2 linked regions of the Rattus norvegicus genome follow. The protein of the gene in region 2 interacts with the protein of the main gene of each other region in a biochemical or structural test. Links are inferred from orthologs where the notes say so. Each region holds a gene or a part of one and is shown on either strand. Other genes may lie near its edges.

What was found.
Region 1: the proteins of Daxx (region 2) and Rassf1 form a complex in vitro, tested with the Homo sapiens proteins (4 studies listed by BioGRID and IntAct, with this or other methods). The link is inferred for Rattus norvegicus from reciprocal best matches to the Homo sapiens genes DAXX and RASSF1.

Annotation. Positions count from the first base shown.
Region 1 is NC_086026.1:117,110,160-117,113,970, reverse strand, and holds part of Rassf1 (ras association domain-containing protein 1), read right to left. Parts: intron 3,810-3,811; coding exon 3,705-3,809; intron 3,500-3,704; coding exon 3,202-3,499; intron 3,069-3,201; coding exon 2,953-3,068; intron 43-2,952; coding exon 1-42. UniProt on the Homo sapiens protein: Potential tumor suppressor. Required for death receptor-dependent apoptosis. Mediates activation of STK3/MST2 and STK4/MST1 during Fas-induced apoptosis by preventing their dephosphorylation.
Region 2 is NC_086038.1:4,975,087-4,978,997, forward strand, and holds the start of Daxx (death domain-associated protein 6), read right to left. Parts: upstream 2,635-3,911; 5' UTR 2,555-2,634; exon of another isoform or gene 2,451-2,554; intron 2,032-2,450; exon of another isoform or gene 1,791-2,031; intron 1,698-1,790; 5' UTR 1,682-1,697; coding exon 1,475-1,681; intron 876-1,474; coding exon 50-875; intron 1-49. UniProt on the Homo sapiens protein: Transcription corepressor known to repress transcriptional potential of several sumoylated transcription factors. Down-regulates basal and activated transcription.

The sequences.
Region 1 (3,811 bases), on a different chromosome or scaffold from region 2:
GCGCAAGAAATTGTGCAGCTCAGGCATGCTGAAGGCATCCCACTGGAAAGGGCAGAGGAGATTCACGGGCTGCAGCAATGCATGGCTAAGTAGGCAGACCCTCCTCAGAGACTGGTCCCTCATGGTCCCCGTAAGCAGGATAGGGCCTCCTGACAGTCCCTTCTTCTGCATCCCTCCTCGTTTTGTTACTATCTCATGTGTTTTGTCATGTATCACATGTATGCATGTCCACACAGAGGTCAGAAGAAGGTATCAGATCCCCTGGAGTTAAGAGTTACACATGGTTGTGAGTGCCCTCTGGGTGCTGGGAATCAAATCCAGGTCCTCTATAAGAGCGACATGTACTCTTAACCACTAAGCCAACTCTTTTTGTTGTTGTTTAAAGGTTTTATAATTTATGTACATTGGTGTTCTGCCTGCATGTATGTCTATGTGAGGGTATCAGATCCCTTGGAAATGGAATTACAGATAGCTGTGAACTGAACCCCAGGTATTGAGCCCATGTCCTTCGGAAGAGCAGCCAGTACTCTTAACCACTGACCCATCTCCCCAGCCCTCCTGAGCCAACTCTTTAAGCCCCTTATTTTTTTGTTGTTTTTTGAGTCATGGTCTTTCCACATATAAGAGGCTGGCCTTGAACTTGTTATGTAGCCAGGTTAGTCTCAAACTTGTGATTCTCCTGTTCTGCTTCCTGAATGCTTGGATTACAAGTACTTATCACTACGCTAGGCTAGATGTTAGGCTCTTGACTAAAGAGTCTGTGCTAGGATCCTCGTGAGCAGTCTGCAGAGAAAACAGTTGCCTTGTAGAGAAATATCTCTATCTGTTGTCAGGTGCACTCTCTCACATATCCTCTGTCTGTCTGTCTGTCTCTCAATACAATGGGCTATGACTCACACCTAAGGTGTCATAAATGTTAGCAGTTACCTTTTACATTTCTTTCCCACTAAGCTACATTCCCAGACAGCCCCCTCACCCGCCCTACATTTTCTTTATCTTTGCTGCCCAGCCTTGTGGATGCTGAGCGTCCATTCTCCCTACTGCGCCACCGCCACAGCTAACCCCTTGGTAAAAATTTTTTATTTTTTGCATTACTGGCAATTGCACTGTGCTGTCTAGTTTTCTGTCAGCTTGACACGAGCTAAAGTTATCTGAAAGTTGGGAATCTTAGTTGAAAAAAAAAATGCGACCATAAGATCTGGCTGTAAGGCATTTTCTGAGTGACTGATAGGGGAGGTACCACCCCTGGGCTGGTGGCCATGGGTTCTATAAGGAAGCAGGCTGAGCAAGTCAGTAAGCAGCACACACCATGGCCTCCTCCTTCAGCTCCTACCTTCAGGTTCCTGTCCTGTTTGAGTTCCTGCCCTGACTTCCTTCAATGATGGACTATGATATGGAAGTGTAAGACAAATCCCCCAACTTACTTTCTGGTCTTGGTGTTTTATCAGAGCAACAGAAAACCTAACTAAGACATGAACCAAGGGATAAGCATGCTGAGTACTTGACCACTGAACTATAGCCCCAGGCCTTTTATGTTTGAGACAGGATCTCATTCAGTTAACCTGGACTGGCCTTAAGTCACTCTGTAGCCCAGGGAGGCTTTGAACTAGTGATCTTCCTGCATTCCAAGTAGTTGAGATTAAAGGAGAGTGTATGTCACTAGGCCTTGCTAGGAAGAATGTCTTGTTTGTTTGTTGGTCTTGAACTCTAGGCAATTCTTCTGCTTTAGTTTCCCCAGTAGATGAGATTACAGGCCTGTGCTGCTAAAACGTCTGTCCAATGCTTCAAAGAGGCCTTTATGTTTTCCAGGTTATACCTGTGAAACTTTGTTCATTTGTTTTAGGGGCTTGAGAGACAGTTCAATGGTTAAGAACATTGGTTGCTCTTACAGAGAACCAGAGTTCAATTTCCAGCACCAACATGGTGGGTTCCAATCATCTGTAACTCTGTTCCAGGGGAGCCAACACCTTTTTCTGACTCCTCTGGGCATGTGTACACCTATATACAAATATATACATACAGGCAAAAGAATCATACACAAAGTCTTTTTTAAAAACTGTTTTATGTGGATAAGTGTTTTGTCTGCAGGCAGATATGTGCACTGTGTGCATGGTCTGGAATTATGGACAGTTGTAAGCTTCTACATGGGTGCTAAGAACCAAATCCAGGTCCTCTGCATGAACGACGAGTGCTTTTAACCACTGAGTCATCGTTCTTGCCCTACTGTTCTAGGTGTGTGTGTGTTAGAGTGGGGTTACATGCACATAAGTACAGGTACCCTCTGAGGCCAGCAGAGGAAGTCAAATCCTTTGGGAGCTGCTGGACATGGTCCTTGGGAAAAGCAGCAAGCACTCCTAACTGTGGAGGCGTCTCTGAGCCCACATAATACGTAGCTCTGAACTTGTCTTGGCTCAGCATGAGTTGGTCAAGTCCTCAATCTTTGGAGTAGTTTTTCTTTTTCTTTTCTTTTTTTTTTTTTTTTGGAGCTGAGGACCGAACCCAGGGCCTTGTGCTTGCTAGGCAAGCGCTCTACCACTGAGCTAAATCCCCAACCCTTGGAGTAGTTTTTCAACATCAGGAAACAACAAAGTCCTAAGGCAATTCTTCCTAGCTTGTGTGTTTTTTGTTGTTATTGTTGTTTAGTTTTTGTTTGTTTTGTTTTTTTTTTTGTAGCTCAGACTGATCCCAAACTCACAGCAATCCTCCAGTCTCAGCCTCCCAAGTACAGTGATTAGAACATGAACAACTCACTAGACTCAGCTTCTTCTAGTTTCTTGGGATGGGCTCTAGACCTTGCTTGGGCTCTAGACTTCCACTTGAGGACCTGCATAGTCTTGGAGAAGCTGTGCAGGGTTTGGCCTCTAGGCCAGTTTCTCCTGAAATTCCCACCATAGCTATGCCCCACTAGCTTTGTCTAGTGATAAAAAAGAGTAAGAAAGGCTATGTACTCACATTCACCTCCCCAGAGTCATTCTCCTTCAGGACAAAGCTCAGGGCTTTTTCACTGGGCCCTGCAAGAAGCCGTAGCTTCAAGGGCTGCTCCTCATCTGACAGTTTCCGGAAGTATACTAGAGGTCAGACGGGGTTGGGGGGGTGGAGGGAATAAACAGTTAGAGGCAGAACCTGATGCCTCAGCCCCTTAGTGCACAGATATGTGGTATATACCCCCTTACATAGGGAGACTTAAGACTGGAAACCTACTTTGGCCATGGCGTTCAGTTCGTTCAAAGAGTGCAAACTTGCGAGGATCATCTACTACCATGAATTTTCGAAGCAGGGCCTCAATGACCTCACGCGCGCGTGTTCGTGACAGAACGTGCAGATGCTTAACAGCATCCTTAGGCAAGTAAAAAGAGGTGCGGCGCTTCACAGCTGAGCTCCGCCCCGTGCCCCTCCGGGCATCCTGCAAGGAAGGCGGTTTCTTGCTGGAAGGCACTGAAACAGGGCGTACCAGTTTCAGCTGAACCTTGATGAAGCCGGTGTAGGAGCCATCCTTATTCTAGAAAGAGAGAAAGAACCACGCCACGTGTCAGGAAGTTCTACTGGAGATGGCTGAGGTAGGCTGAGTCCACCTGGGGCAGTGCAAAGACAGGTATGCATAGACTGCTGCTTGGGTCCACCCACAAATACGTGGCTCGGACTCTCTGGACCTCTGGCACAAGGCTGGGCTCCTGTTCCCCCACACTCCTAAGCAGACAACTCACCAGGCTCATGAAGAGGTTGCTGTTGATCTGGCCATTGTAATCCTTGATTTTCTGCTCAGTCTCAGCTTGGGAAAGATCAGGTGTCTCCCGCTCCACAGCCTCATCCT
Region 2 (3,911 bases):
GATTAGAGCTGCCTCTGTTCCACCTGAAATCATCCCAGGAGCTTCCTACCTGGCCTATAGTCATCTGTGAGGTGGCAGCCAAAGTTATAGATGAGATCCAGGTGGCGGCGCTCCTGTAACCTGACACCCACATCCCGGAAGGCATCCTGAGCCAGGAGCTGAAGCTGCTGTCTGGGAAGGCCCAGACTGTGCCGGGTCGCCGCCTTCTCCACCGCTCTCAGCACATCTCCATAGTCCGGAAACGTGTCAGGCCCCGGCTTGTTGATGAGCCGCTCGATGCGCCTGTTGACCTCTGGGTATCGAGTGCCTCGGTAAGGAATTCGCTGCTCTATGACCCTCCCAGTCAGAGAAGAGCAGTCCTTCAACTCGCACAGCCGCCCAAAGAGGCGGATCAGTTTCCGCTTCAAGCGGGCCTCCTGCAAATAGGAGGAGTCGGGATCATCCAGTTCTGACAGATCCAACTCCTTTTCCTGCAGCCGCTGTATCTCTGCGACATACAGTGCCAGCAGCTGCTCCAAGCGCTGGATCTGCCTCCGGGAGCCTCGAGTCCTTGAGGCCTCAGAGGCAGTGGTTTCGGTGTTTGTAAGGTCAGACGGGGGATCTGTGGGAGGGTTATCACCCGATGATTCCGCTGAGGCTGCGGGAGCTAAGTTCAACTTCTTCTTGATGGAATGAGCTTTAAGGACAGTGCAGAGCTCGTTAATGTAGACGTAGAGCTTCGCTGGCCGGTTCCGAGACCGAGACAGAACCCTGGAGAGGATGTTGCGGAACTCTGCAGAGGCCAGAAAAGCGGACTGAGCACGCTGCTGCAGTTTGTGGAGGAACGGAACCACCTCAGGGTGGTCCGATGTCTGCATCTTACACAGTTCAAGGAACTAAACGGTTCGGGGGAAGGGACGGGAAAACCAAAAAACCAAAAAAAAAAAAAAAAGAGGGAATCAGTGAGGAAGCCAGAACAATCAGCCAATCAAACACCCCTTTCCTTGGGATCTGCCCAATCACATCATAATGGTTCACATCCTTTTCTTTTTTTCTTTTTTTTTTTTTTTGGTTCTTTTTTTCGGAGCTGGGGACCGAACCCAGGGCCTTGCGCTTCCTAGGCAAGCACTCTACCACTGAGCTAAATCCCCAACCCCCACATCCTTTTCTTAAAAAGATGTATTCTATATATGAGTACACTGTAGCTGTCTTCAGACGCCAGAAGAGGGCATCAGATCCCATTACAGATGGTTGTGAGCTACTATGTGGTTTCTGGGATTTGAACTCGATACCTCTAGAAGGGTAGTCAGTGCTCTTAACCACTGAGCTGTCTCTCCAGCCCAGTGATTCACATCTTGAATCCCAGCTGTCAGGAGGCAAAGGCAAGTAGAACTCTGTGAGTTCAAGGCCAGCCTCATCTAGACAGTTCCAGGCAACCAGGGCCACAAAGCGAGACCCTTCTCTTAAAGGAAAGGGAGCCTTCCCTGAAGCTTACCTCTTCAAACAGCTTCTCATTCTCCAACTTGTAGCACTTCCTGCTACCTGAGTTACTGCTCCCTCCATCCCCATGGGACTCAGAGGGACCAGAGGCTTCTGGTCCTGGTGAGACAGGATTAGAGGCTGGGTTGGAGGGTCCTGGCTGAGCAGCTGCTTCATCTTCATCATCATCGTCAAGCACAATGATGCTGTCATCGGTGGCCATGGGGGATCAAATCCCCCTGAGGGAAAAAGTATTTGAAAGGTCAGAATTCTGGAAGGGAAAGGGTGACTCAGGAAAAGCCCCTCCTCCTTAGTCCCACTCAGTCAGATACCTCAGGGTTCACAATAGCCTCGTCCTTTCTGAGATGTCTTCAAAGCCTGTCTTTTGCAACTATCAGTCTCAGGCAGTTCTGAAGGGGAACCTCCCCATCGATCGTCTCAAGTCCCAAATTTCAGCCCCCAGTCAATTTCCTGTCTTTCGGTTGCGTTTTCCCCACTCTCTTGTCAGCTGGTGAGTTTTTTCTTCCTACTCCCAATCCGATGGGGTATAAGATCCCACACTGCTCTCTCCGTCTACAGAAACCAACACCCAGTCGATACCACCACATGGGTTTGCCCACCTCTCGCCCTCCATCATCACAGTCCCCTCCGACTTCTTCCTAACTCCAACTCTTCCACTCCGAGGTTAAAGGGTTTCCCTCTGAAGAGCCTGGTGTCCTTCCCGCTCCTACAACCATCTCCATGTTCCACCTTCCACAAACCCGGACTTCAGGCTGGAGATTTTTCACCTCCAGTCCCCTCCCTCTCACCGCACCCAGGTTTTCCCCATTCTCTGTGACTCGTAACCGACAGCAAGCCCACCACTCAGCATTCCCAATGTCTGGGCTTCCAGCCCCAGGCGAGGACAGTCTCCAGCCTCAGCTTCCCGCCAAGTAACCCTCTCCGCGTTCAGCCCTAGGCCGCCACATTCCCCTTCAGGGCTAGCAAGGTACCATACAAGCTCGCCCCTCAGACTCCGCAGCCAGGCCGTGCGGATCCTTCGCCTTCGCCAACTCCTGCGCCGCCACCCCGGCTCCACGAACGACCTGGCCCCCACCTCAGAAACGGTCTCTCGAGGCTCCCCTCAGCGCGGATCACAAATCCTCGCAAAGTTCCCTCCGCCTTCCTTTCCCCCACCCCCACCTCAGGCCCTACAACAGACCGGAAGGCGCGGAGTTTCCGCCTGCAGCACCTGAGGGCGGCCATATTGCTGTACGGGACCTAGGCTTCTTGGGACCGGAAGTGACGCGTGGCCCGCCCACCTAGGCCGCCGCTCCGGGTGCACTGACACTCAGGGGGGCGGGGCCTGGGACCAGGTAGATGGGGCGCGCCACGTTGCCGTACGGCACCAGCCAGCTCCGCGAGGCGTGGAGCTCTTTGCACCAGGAGCTTGCCAAAGCCACTCGGCCAATCAGAAACTTCCTGCCCCAGACCTGCCCTCCCACCCCACGCCATCGGCTGGAGGGCGGGGAAGACCTTCCCATCCTTCCATCCGAGCAGGTACCTAAGGAGCTGGTGTGTCTATGGCTGTGTAGGGCTCCAGGGAAGGAAATAAAGGATTTTCTTTTCCTGTTGGTGTAAGCCTGGCACTCCCTACTTTGCTTTCCCTCCGACCAAGAGTTCCACCGCCTGGTTGCCTATGCTTGCCCTTCCCTTTAAGAGCCGGCGTGCACTTGGAGGCTGTCCAGCCCGGGCCTCCTGGGTCAGGTGCACACACACGCACACGCACATATGCATGCATACAAATGAGCACAGCATGCTGCCCGAGTGAGGTATTGTTATTATTGCGGTCCGCGAGACTGGATGCTCAATCTGCACCACAGACCGAGCTCCCTACTGGGAACCGTGGCCCCTGTTCCACCGAGGGTCGTCTTGACTGTATGGAAGGCAGTGCTTCCGGGCAGGGGTCTGCAGGGCGTTGAGGCGGAGCGCGGGATAACCTGGTGCGGGCTTGGTGAGAAGCCCTGCAAGCTGCCGCTGGGAGCGCTGGGAAACGAATCGAGGCTCATAAAATCACGCGGGGTGTCTTCCTTCTCCTGGAGAGCTGCGGAGAAAAGGAAGAGGGGAAAACAACTGTGTGATGCCGGCCGGGCCCGGGGTGGAGAGGCGAGGCCCTCAGGTGTGCTGACGAGGAAGCCTGATAAGTCAACACCCTTCGCGCGGAGACTGCATCAACGCGGTCTTCCTGCCTCAGGTGGCGGGCATCTTACCAATGTGCAGGACCAAGAAAAGCCCAGCTGCTCTCGGGGCTGGGGATTTAGCTCAGTGGTAGAGCACTTGCCTAGCAAGCACAAGGCCCTGGGTTCGGTCCTCAGCCCCCCCCCCCCCAAAAAAAGAAAGCCCAGCTGCTCTCAAGAGAACCCGAACTACAAATTTAAACCCACTTCTTCCTCGCTTCCCGTCCGGTCTTACGG